Linked DNA regions of Lonchura striata. Each later gene encodes a partner of the first gene's protein in a complex. Links are inferred from orthologs where the notes say so. Each region holds a gene or a part of one and is shown in the gene's direction. Other genes may lie near its edges.

Region 1 (3,746 bases):
AATTCATCTCAGCTTGCTTGTATTAGAGACTCACTCCACACAAACTTCTGGGACAGAAAGAGTGGAAATTTCTGTTAGATACACAGGAAAAAATCTTTACTGTGAGGGTGGTGAGGCAGTGGAACAGTCTGCCACAGAAGCTGTGGATGCCCCACCCCTGGAAATGTTCAAGGCCAGGTTGGATGGGGTTTGGAGCCACATAGCCTAGTGGAAGCTGTCCCTGCCCATGGGGCAGGGATCTTTAAGGTTCATTCCAAACCAGGCCATTCTATGAGTCTATGATTTTATGAAATTACTTCATTTTTTAAAATTAGGTGAGGTTAAGTGGGAAAATAGTTCACCAGGGAGAGGGAGAAACTTCTGGTTTTGTTCAGCTGTGGCGTTGTCTTCAACACGGGAAACATTCCAGGTTCACAATATGTATTACTTGTTAATTCAGTATTGACCTGTGTTAACACCTCTGTTCAGACAGAACTCTTGGTCTGGTTGAGATGCTTAACAGAACACAGAAACCTTAAAGACTGGAAGTTAGTTAGAAGAACTGTGTTTAACCTTGCTGCTGGCTCTTTATTCAGCATTTGAGGGGATCAAGTGCTCTGAGGAGCGGCTGAGGGAGCTGAGGGTGTTTAGCGTGGAGGAGGCTCAAGGGTGACCTTACCGCTCTCCATAACTCCCTGAAGGAGGCTGTAGCCAGGTGGGGGTCGGCCTCTGCTCCGGAGAGTTTCAGGCTGGACATTAGGAAGAATTTATTCGCAGAAAAGGTGATTAGACATTGGAATGAGCCGCCCAGGGAGGTGGTGGGGTCACCGTGCCTGGGGGTGGCACTCAGTGCCCTGGTCTAGTTGACACGGCGATGTTCAGTCACAGGCTGGACTCGATGACAGAGGTCTTTTCCAACCAAAATTACTCTGTGGATTGTGGGGGGTTTGTCTGTTTTGGTTTTGTTTGTGAGTGCTTGTTTTTGTTTTGGGTAGGTTTTTTTCCTTTTTTTCAGAGGACGAACACGATATGTGATAGGGGAAAAGATGAAAAGGGGGAGATAGAGGAAGAAAAAAACCCACGAGACCAATACAAGAAAATAAAACCGCAGAACGCGCACCGTGAGGCGCTCCGGCAACCGCCCCGTCCGCGCGCCGGGGCAGCGGCCGCTGCCTCAGCGTTCGGCGCTACCATCTCGTGGCGGGGGCGGGGGGGAAGCTGTGGGTTGTGCTGTTTCTCCCCGGGCGCGGGGCTCGCCTCGTCAGGCTCTTCCCCCCCACTCAGCCGCGATAAGTGGGAGAGGCGAGGCGCGTCCCGACGCACGCGCGGTGAAGGCTCAGTGACCGCCGCGATGGAGGAGGCGGCGGAGCGCGGCCGGGCTGGCGCTGGGGCGGCGGCGATGGCGGAGGGAGGCAGCGCCGCCGGAGAGGAGGCAGCCACCGCCAACGCCGCGTCCTCGCCACCGCCGTGCTCCCCTCCGGAGGGGGGCGGGACGAAGCCACTGAGCGCGGCGGAGTACGCGCGGCGCGTACACCAGTGGCTGTGGGACTCGTACTGCGGGTACCTGTGCTGGCAGGGCTGCACGCCCGCCTTCCTCGCCGCCGCCGCCGCGCAGCCGCCCCCGCCCGCCGCCTCTGCCTATTACAGCCCCTTCTACCTCTTCGCTCCGCCGCCAGCACACGCGGCCTCCGCCGGGACGGGACCCCGCGGCCCCGGCGCTGCCGCCCCAGCCTGGCCGGGAGCGGCGGGCGCGGTGTCGCCCCTGCCCAGGGCGGCCGCCGGCAGCGCCGCCGGCAGCGGCGGCAGCGGCGCCTCCCGGGACGCGGGGCGGCCGGCGGGTGAGTGGGGCCGGGGCTGGGCCTGGGGAGGAGCAGGAGCCTGATGAGAGCCGCGGCTCCGGGAAGCGGGTTCTGGAGAGGGAAGCCGGGGGTGTGCGACGTTGGGAGTGGCTGCGCTTCCGTTGGCTGCGGCCCCGGGCATGTGGCTGTGCCTTGTGACACAGGGTGACAGCCCTAATACCGAGGTGTAAATCCAGAACCTGATGCATAAGCAGGTTTGGGGAGATTGACTGGCATATGCAGCTTACAGCTTCAGTGCTTGTAAAGATGTTTTTGTGCTTAGGAAGGAGTTTATTTTTTTTTTCTAGTGGAAATTATTCTTCTGGTTACAGGCTTGTAGTGCATCTAGCTTTATGAGCAGCCCGTCTGTGTTATGAAATCTAAACTAACTTTGCCTGTTTCAGTGAGCTGTTGGTACTCAAATGAAATAATTTTGTCTAATCGAAGCAGAGAAGTGAAAACATGCTGACATTGAACAAACTTAGGCAGTGGGACCCGAGATAAACAAACGTCTGTTACAGCTGTAAACATTGAAGGCAGTGCACAGCAGGCCTTCTGTTTATATTTTTCAGGAATAAAGCAAACTCACTCTGATCACATGAGAGGTAAAACCTGGAGCAGCAACAACTCCTCACAAGTCGAGGAGTGCCTAGGTCACATTCCTTGAATGTTCGTACCACTGTGAGCAATGGTAGAAAATTGTGGAGGAGAGGACTGCTGACGGACTTTGGAAAAAAGCCAGAGCTCGTTTCTGTCTGCAGGACAAAGTACGACACTGACGATCTGTGACATTATTTATAAGCCTAGTGGCCATATGTGTGTGGAAGATGTTTTTTGTTCCTTTTTCCTTATTTTCAAGGGAAGGGAGCCTAGCCTCTGAGCTTGCCTCTTTCTTATGAGTTTAGGTAGATGTTTTTTAAACATGGTTAGGAGACAAAATAGTATTTTCTGTAATTATGCCCTGATTCTATTATAGTTTGGTTATGAACAGATATTACCAGTCATTAAAGGGAGGGTTGGACAAAGGCTAGGCTGAAATGATTCTTGGAATTTTGCTGGTTTATCAGGAGCTAATTCCATATGTTAAAGGTTATTTAGGGCATGAATAACATTTCATGATGCTGAACATGGTTATTCTGAATATTGCATACTATTGCAACACGCTTGGCCTTCTTGGGTGACTAGGTATGTGATGCAGTAATACAATACAGTTATAAACAAAGACTGTGGTGCTGATGCTTTGGCTACAGATGGATATATCTGGAACAGCTAAAGGGATTATGGCTCCTTCTCTGCTGTAGATTACTGCCCACACAGCAGCAAGGCGAGGCAGGGCAGGTCGTGTATCTGTCCCTGTGCCACTGCAGTTTACAGCCCGTGTGCTTACATAAACTGAAATAAGTGACAGCTTATGCTAATGTTGCAAATTTCAAACTGGGATGTCAAAAAGTGGGATTGTTAACTGCCTTTGCCACTTCAGTCTGCCTGCAGGTGTGTGTCAGAGCAGTAAAATTTAACAGCACTCTGGGCAGTGGCAGGCTCTTCGTGGACAGACACCATGATCTAAGATACTTCTTGCCTGGTCCCTCCCTGCCTTAGTGCAGGAGATACTGCTCATCTGCTGGGAACAGTAGGGCAAAGGGTGCATCCAGGCCCCAGTTGCCCTGTGGCTGACTGGTGCAAACCCCTCTTAAGCACTATGTGGATGCAATATCCTAGACATTGAACTAGATGGATGTTGCATTTGGCTGGCCTTGCTGAATAAATAGTAACCCTTGGCAAAAGAGTGGATTTTTGGTATGATGAACAGCTTGAATCACTGCAATGTAAATCTGCCAGAGTCTAAGGGTTGCCAAGGTTTCTTAATGTGATGGAGTTAACCATAATTTGAATACTTACTTTCCTAGCCCCATGTAGCTTCTTCTTTAG
Region 2 (3,746 bases), on another chromosome or scaffold:
TGCAACAGAACAGGAAAGACTAACATGATGCCTTGTAATACTGAAAGAGAACATGATGGGGTGAAAAATATGTACCTACTCAAATGTTTTTATTTACAACTGTTTGCCACTGCTGTTCAATCAAAGTGGGGAAAAGAGAACTAAGACACCAAAACAAAAAAATTAATTTGTAAAGGAGGATTATGAAGAATATAAAATATGAAATTAAAAACAATTAGTTTCATAGGTTAAGTACAATATGAGCTAGATATGAGCTTCAAATTTATGCTGAAGAAAAGAGAGGTTGTTTTTTATTTCAGTTTGTACTGAAACAAAAGGAAATGGTGACTATTGAGATTTTCTCTTAGCCATATGTTCTTTTAGAAGTTCCATCCCAATTGTATTACACCTATAACAAGGTGGAAGAGATACAGTTGTAGATGTAAGTATCTCTCTGTCACTGTGGTATGGCAAAGGTGGCAATCAAGTCAAGCTCTTGCTGATAATTCTTGCCTAAAATAATAACCATTGACATATGACGCCATTTCAGTCTTTCGAGATCCTGAAAACCAACAACCAAGGTGCTACCAACTCTTACAGCGAAGTCTGTTGGGCGTGGAGTGTCTCGGGTCTGTGGGTTCCTGGGAGCCCCTTTTCCAAGCCCCAGTTTTCAGACCCACCGAGGCCGCGGGCACCTCGCCCCATCCCCTCTGCGGGCGCTCTTCCCTCGCGCAGCCCCCGCGGCCCGGCCGCCGCCGCAGCGCGGCCCCTCCGCCGCTGTCCGGGCGGCGCCGGCGCGGCAGGCGCCTCCCCCCGCGGTCACGGCGGGGCTGTCGCCGCCGCTGCCACGTCAGGGGAGTGTCCCGGGCCGGGCCGGGCCGGGCCGGGGCCGGCCTTCCTCCTCCGCCCCCTGCCCCCGCCGCCGGAGCCGCGGAGAGAGCGAGCGGTGCGCGCTGCCATGGAGGCCCGGTACAACCTCAAGAGCCCGGGTAGGCGGCGGCCGCGCCTTTACGGGCCGGGGCTGCCGCCGCGGCTGCCGCCGGGGCCGGGGCCGCGGCGGGGAGGAGGGCCGGGGCCGCGGCGGTGGCGGTGGGCTCCTGCGCCGGGGCGGAGGCCGGCCGGGTTCGGTTCTCCTTCGCGGTGCGATGGCGTTGAAACCTCCCTCCGAGCTGTAATTCGGTTCGAAGCACCCTGACCGCCGGGTCTGGACGTGTCTGTGTGCCCACGCGCGTTGGTGGTTCGTGGACACGTACCCCTGAACGCTTAGTCAGGTGGCCGTGCCCCGTTCCCCCGGGCATCGCCTGCTCTCCGAATGGGTGCGTGTGAGGGCACGGCTCGCCAAGGGTAACTTGGCCCCTGTGGCGTCAGTTTGTTTTGCAGAAGTGTTGCTGTACAGGCTCCGTGTACTTGCGTGTCTGTGTTTGTTCACATGTTTGGTTTGACATGTTACAATTCATGCCTATAAGTCCTGGGCTTTCTTTTGAATCCTTGAAGTGAGAGAGACGCCTCGAGAGATGTGGAGAAAACAGCGCTGGAAGGGAAGGTTTTGGTTCCTCGGAAGCAGCGAGCAGGCCGTGTCTCCCCGCGTGGCTGTGCCGGAGCAGCGGTCTCTGACCGGCTGTGCCAGGGCTTCACCCGGGGAGCGGCCTGCACAGCCGGAGGCCCGGCTGACCCTGCCGAGGCAAAGCCTCTCCCGCAGCTCCTGAGGCCTGGGAGGCTTTGTGTGAGGGCTGCTGTCCCGCCCCTGCTTTCGCCTGGCCGGGTGTTGAGAAATAGGCATTATCCGCTTCATGATATTGTGATGAATAGTAGCTTTATTTTTTAATCATACCGTCCTGTTACCAGCATGTGAGGTGGGGAGAAACTGAATCTTATGATGACTTGTACCTTATAAATGTCAGTGACATGCTTTGTTTACAAACATACCTCATGCGGATGATGGGTCTATTGTTAAATTGTGTCCCTTAGCCTCACACCCAGGTTGCATAACTGGAAGATAAGAAGGATCACTAAGCAAATTATTAACTTGTTGTCATTTAAAATGTCAGAAAGGAATACTCTTTTTTGGGGAGATATGCAGGATGTGTGGCATATGTGAATTTAGAAGGCCACACAAACATGCTCACTGGTTGCGGTTTGCCACGTCATGGGAAATAGTGGTGGTGTGCTGTATGACAAGCACCTGGGACCTGGGTGGAGAGGAGAAGTATTTGTGACTTAATTTAGAAATGTTCTTCCCCTTTGTTATTACTTGTCCCCCCTGTATTCAAGAGAAAATTACCTTTACTGGAATTGATTTTCAGCACCTGTTGGTGCAGAAAATCAGCTGGAACCAGCTGTTCCATAGCAAAATAAACTTTGTGGGGTAAAGATAAATAATTCATACAATGGCTTAATATTATTTCTCCAAATTAAGCATGTTTGGTTCCATGTTAATTTATTAAACTATTTCTTTCTATATAGCTAGTGAAAGTTTGTAAATTATATAAATAACTTAAAAAATTTCTATAATAATTTAAAACATTGATTTCAATAGTCAATATGCGTGAAGTTGTTCACTGAACAGATGGGCAAAAAGGTGTTGAATAAATATAAACAAATATTTTAAATAAATATTGTTTCTTTACAGTTGCACATTAAAATGAGTTGACAGTAATTATGTATAGCCACTGCTTGTAGTCTGGCACTTTAGTTGCTAACCTGGTAGATGAGCATATGCAATTATTTAATATTTCTGTGTGTTTTACAAATTCCTATCTTGTTCCAGTTACCTGTGCACTTTAGTGGTGGTATCTTACTCTTGCCATTCGACTGAAGGTTAACAATGGAACTGTAGAATATTCTAATATTAAGGTTTCAATTAATGTAAAGGCACTAAAATACATAAAAAGAAGTCCACTGTATTTTCTATTTCAAGGGGTTGTGTCATGTGTGGACTGAAGGGATTACTTTGGTAACTGAGCCCTCTAGGGCTTTAGAACAAGTAGCTGTCCTTGTGCCTGTTGTTGCTTTGCCTTTAATAGAGGAAGAACCAAGATGCTAACCTTTAGGTCAGCTTTAGGGATTTGGAACATGCTATCTTGAGACAGAATAGAAAAAGTAATGGCTTTGTACCTGTACAAGATGCTTCTACTGCTGAAATCTGCTTTTGGACTTGAGCAAACTGCAAACGGTGATTTTGTCTGCTCAGTATATTTTAAAAGGGCAAATTCTACTAACCCTTTTAGTATAAGTTGCCTTAATGTAATGGTGTAGATGAAAATACATTTTAAGTAGGAAAATGTTGTTAAAAGAAACATGTGCCTTTATAGCAGAATTTGGCTTAAAATAAAGATCTATAGAGTTGTGAAGGAGCTGAAGTTCATCTGTGGTTGACACCTGGATCCCTCTTCTGTGAATGTGCTACACCAGACTGGTGAGTGGGGATCATTTAGGTTCTCCATTGCTGTACTTTGTGTGCTCTCAAGCAGGCCACAGAAGAGCAGTATTGCTACACATCTTTGTCCTGCTGCAAATTGCTCCTAGGCAATGTGTTTATCTTCTTCATTATCCCTGTTTTTACAACCAGTGAGCTCATCCCAGCATATCTGAAAGATGGGAACTCTCCACAACACAAAGCAAGCCGTTCCCCTGCACACCACATCTCTGTTGATGAGAGGCAGTGCAGCTCTGGCCCGTCTCAGTTTGCCATAAGTACAGGCCATGGGCAGTGCAGGTCTGGGATGGCAAAGCAGCTCCTGTCACTTGCCCACTGTAAGAGCAAGGAG
Region 3 (3,746 bases), on another chromosome or scaffold:
GTTCAGCCCACCAGAGCCAGGCTCAGCTCACTTCTGGGCGATTTTGTTGCGTCGGTCCCACGGCAGCGCTGCCCTTGGGCTCGGCTCTGCCCCGGGCAGCCGCGGGGCGATGGCAGAGCGGCTTTCCTAGTTGCAAAATCCAGTCTTGGCTGCAGACTCATCCGTGCCTTTGGGCAACAGGTCTGGCTGCCAAGGAACACTATGAGCAGCTCCTGAAACACGCAGAGTAAATGCCTGGTGCCGAGATAAACCCGACGTCTCACCTTCCTACAGCTTCGTTCGGAAGGACGCGAAAACCCCCTCCTGGCGCACCAGGATCATTACCACGGGCTTTTAACGTGCTGCAGCGCATCTCACAGGAAGATGGGCAAGAGGAGGAGCATCCAGAAGCTGCTGGTCCACATTTTTACGGCTTTTTTTTTTTTTTTTTTTTTTTTGTTAGTAAAAATGTAATGAATTATTAATTTTCCCCAGCATCTCTGCACACTTCTTTTGGTTCCACCCACAAAGTCCTGTACCCACACAAAGCCCACAGCAAACCGGCTGAGGTAGCTCACACAGATCGGGTAAAATAACCATAGGGAAAAAGGGGATGTTTCACTTGAATCAGGCTGTGCATGCAGCACGTGCAGAGCTCCACAGAGCTGTGCTGCTCCAGGGGGCGAGGGGAGAGGGAAGGCGAAGCAAGGGTCGCTGAGAGCGGTGTTGGTGCCGGAGGTGATGCGGTGGAGGGAGGTGAGGAGGGAACGACGGAGCGCGGCGGCACCGGCGCGGCCACGGCCCCTCAGGGACGGGCGGGGCGGGTCCACGGTCACCGTGGTGACCGCATAGCTCCGCCCCCCACCGGCACCACCCAATCAGCGCCTCCGTTTCCTCACGGCGTGCACGCGAGGCTCCGTCCCATTGGCCCACGTGGCAGCCCCGCCCCTTTCCTCATCGCCGCCAATCAGCCGCAGCCACCGCGGCCCTGCGGCGGGGCGGGCCCCTATAAAGCTCTGACGGGGGAGGTTTTGCAACCTCCACCCGCCCCGCGCCCGCCATGGAGGAGCCGCTGGCGCTGCTGGTGCGGAGCCCCGCGCAGCGACACCGCGACCTCCGCCTCAGCGCCCAGCCCGCCTGGACCGTGCGCCGCCTCAAGACCGAGCTGCGCCGCCTCCTGCCCGACGCGCCGGTGAGTGCGCAGTCCACTCTTCCGGGGGCTCCATGGGCGCTGCCTGGGTGGGTGGGCGGTGGGGGCTGCCTGGCTCCCTGCAGGGTAGGGCGGCGGCTGCCGTGGGATTGCCCTGGGGCCGGCGCCTGCTCCCTGGGGGCTGCCCCGGGGCCGTGCCTGCTCCCCGGGGGCTGCCCCGGGGCCGTGCCTGCTCCCCGGGGGCTGCCCCGGGGCCGTGCCTGCTCCCCGGGCTGTCCCGGTTGCGTCAGCCGCGCTTGAGGCGCGCTTGGGCTGTTCTGGGGCTGTTCGTGGCCCGGCTGTGGTTAATCATTGCCCGCCCGGCCGGCGCGTCCCGCAGCTGTGCGGGCCGGAGCCCGCTGCCCCCGGGCACCGCGCCCGGCCGGGGCCTGGCGGGGCTTTGCGGTCCCGGTCCCGCTGCGAGCGGGAGGCGCGGCGCTGCGTGGGGCTGGAATGCAGAAGTGTTGCCTTCCCCCGAGCACACGCGATGGACGCGTGAGCTGCTGCAATCGCTGCGCTCCGTGTCCCGCCGCTCCCGCGGGAGGCTCTGTGGCCTTCACAGCGCCAATAAACGTGGGAAAGACCTCCAAGTTCAACCTTCGACCCAATGCAACTATGCCTGCTAAGCCACACTGACATGCCGTGGTTGTACTCGTTTTTTCAAGAGTGCCAGGGATGCTGCCTCCATTTCAGTGCTTAGCCATTCCTTCCGTGAAGAAATTTTTCGTAACATTTCTCCAACTGGAGACTGCCCTCCAAACTTAAGGCTTGTTCTGTCACTAGTTGCTTGGAAGATTGCCCGATTCCCATGCCTTTGCCATGCTTTCCCTGGGAGTGTGGTGATTAGCCAGAAACAGGCTCCAGGTGCTTCTCCAGCTGCTGTGGGACAGATCCCAGTGAAGAGCTGCTGGGTCCCATTGGGTGAGGTGTAATAGATTTACTTGACACCACCACCTCTGGTGCTGATCAGGTTAGGTAGAACTCCGAACTTCTGTTTTTAAGAAATACAAATGGTTTTGTTGGTTCTGTAAAAGATACAGCACCTAATTAAATTCTTTGCCCAAGGGACTTTGGATTCTTATACAGGTTTGCACCTTGATATTATCCCACTCGGCATTCAGTTGTTCTCATAACTTCAGCTGAATTTAGATGTGCAGTTTAATATGTGGGATGCTGCAAGCTCCACCAGCTGTAAGCTGTGTTAATGCTTGGCAGAGCAAGTAATCCTATTCCTTGTTTTCTTCAAAGCCTGAAGAGGACCAAAAGCTGATTTATTCTGGGAAGCTGCTGCTTGATCACCACTGTCTGGGAGAATTGTTGCCAAAGGTATAAAAAAAGTCTCTTTTATGATGTGCTGAAATATATCCACAGAATGGATTTTTTTTTAACAGATCTTCCCTTAAATTTCAGCATGGGGAGGTGCATGCTTTTCACTTGGTATACAACCTCAAGACTCCTGGAAATATGCAAGGAACCAAATCAGAGGTAATTAAACTTAAGTTAACTCTGAATCTTGGGCTTGGAACTGAAAACGAGAAGTCTTGGATGACCATTTTAAGTTCCCTTTTACTGCAGGTTTTCCCTTTTAGTGCAACAGCAGCATGTTATGTTTGGGAGTGTGAGAATGTATTTGGATTACGCTGAGTAAAAAAATTGCCTCTACAGTTAATCAGTAAAGATTCTTATGGTATCTGTTGAGAAAGATCTAGTTGTGATGTGCTGCTCAGGGGAGAAATGCTTTCTGGCAGATTCAGTTTTATTAAATAGATTGACTTGCTATGTCCCAGGCATGCTTGGACAGACTGAGCTTGTGGAGGGAAGTGGTTCTGATCTGTGTGGAGAGGGAAGAAGGCTGAGAACTGCAGACACTTTAACTGCTCTCATTAATGACTCATCTTTGGCTTCCTCTCTACAGGCTCAGCCTTGGTGCTTGAGCTCAGTGTGGACTGGTCTCAAGTAAAAATGGTCAAAATCCATCCTTTCTTTAAAGGGCCTAGGCAAATGTTTCTAGAGGTGTGTGTTCCTGTTGCCCATCAAAGGCACTCTGAGCTAACCCTACCCATGCTAGATGTGAGCCAGCTTTGGCTGGGTGTCACATATATCACCACAGCACAGCTGTTGAACTGTGTGCAGCAGTTTGTGCAAGTACAAATTTGCCATTGGAAAAAGCCAAAGTGTCTTTTGTGTTTTATATCTTTATAGCCATATGGACACTGAATGTGTGCATAAGAAGTAATAAATTCAGTGTGGCTATTGTGAAAGGGAAGAGTAGCATCAAATCAGTTTTGCCTCCCAGTCATTTGGTTCCAGGAGGTTTAAAATACTGATGGAGGTGCTTGTGGTGTGGCACTGAGAGGTGCTGTGCAGGAATAGGTGTTAAAACAAGGGCATACTTTGTGGGGTGCAGACTTTTTGCATAAAGTGTGTGTGCTGTCCTGAGTAAACCTCACTGGCTGCCCTGCTGTCTGTAGGTTAAAGCTGATCAGCCCACGTTATCATCAGAAGCCAGGCAGGAATCCAATGTGTCTTCCTCAAATGGTGGAAGGTTGAGGAGCTCTTCAGGTGTCCACTCTTCAGC

What was found.
Region 2: FAM8A1 (region 1) and UBE2J1 share a complex: the UniProt entries of both Homo sapiens proteins name them as parts of the HRD1 complex. The link is inferred for Lonchura striata from reciprocal best matches to the Homo sapiens genes FAM8A1 and UBE2J1.
Region 3: FAM8A1 (region 1) and HERPUD1 share a complex: the UniProt entries of both Homo sapiens proteins name them as parts of the HRD1 complex. The link is inferred for Lonchura striata from reciprocal best matches to the Homo sapiens genes FAM8A1 and HERPUD1.

The regions. Positions count from the first base shown.
Region 1 is NC_134603.1:90,558,577-90,562,322, forward strand, and holds the start of FAM8A1 (protein FAM8A1), read left to right. Parts: upstream 1-1,319; 5' UTR 1,320-1,330; coding exon 1,331-1,817; intron 1,818-3,746. UniProt on the Homo sapiens protein: Plays a role in the assembly of the HRD1 complex, a complex involved in the ubiquitin-proteasome-dependent process of ER-associated degradation (ERAD).
Region 2 is NC_134605.1:78,095,069-78,098,814, forward strand, and holds the start of UBE2J1 (ubiquitin-conjugating enzyme E2 J1), read left to right. Parts: upstream 1-831; 5' UTR 832-937; coding exon 938-968; intron 969-3,746. UniProt on the Homo sapiens protein: Catalyzes the covalent attachment of ubiquitin to other proteins. Functions in the selective degradation of misfolded membrane proteins from the endoplasmic reticulum (ERAD) and is essential for cells to recover from ER stress.
Region 3 is NC_134615.1:17,256,766-17,260,511, reverse strand, and holds the start of HERPUD1 (homocysteine-responsive endoplasmic reticulum-resident ubiquitin-like domain member 1 protein), read left to right. Parts: upstream 1-1,005; 5' UTR 1,006-1,039; coding exon 1,040-1,171; intron 1,172-2,416; coding exon 2,417-2,494; intron 2,495-2,578; coding exon 2,579-2,653; intron 2,654-3,639; coding exon 3,640-3,746. UniProt on the Homo sapiens protein: Component of the endoplasmic reticulum quality control (ERQC) system also called ER-associated degradation (ERAD) involved in ubiquitin-dependent degradation of misfolded endoplasmic reticulum proteins.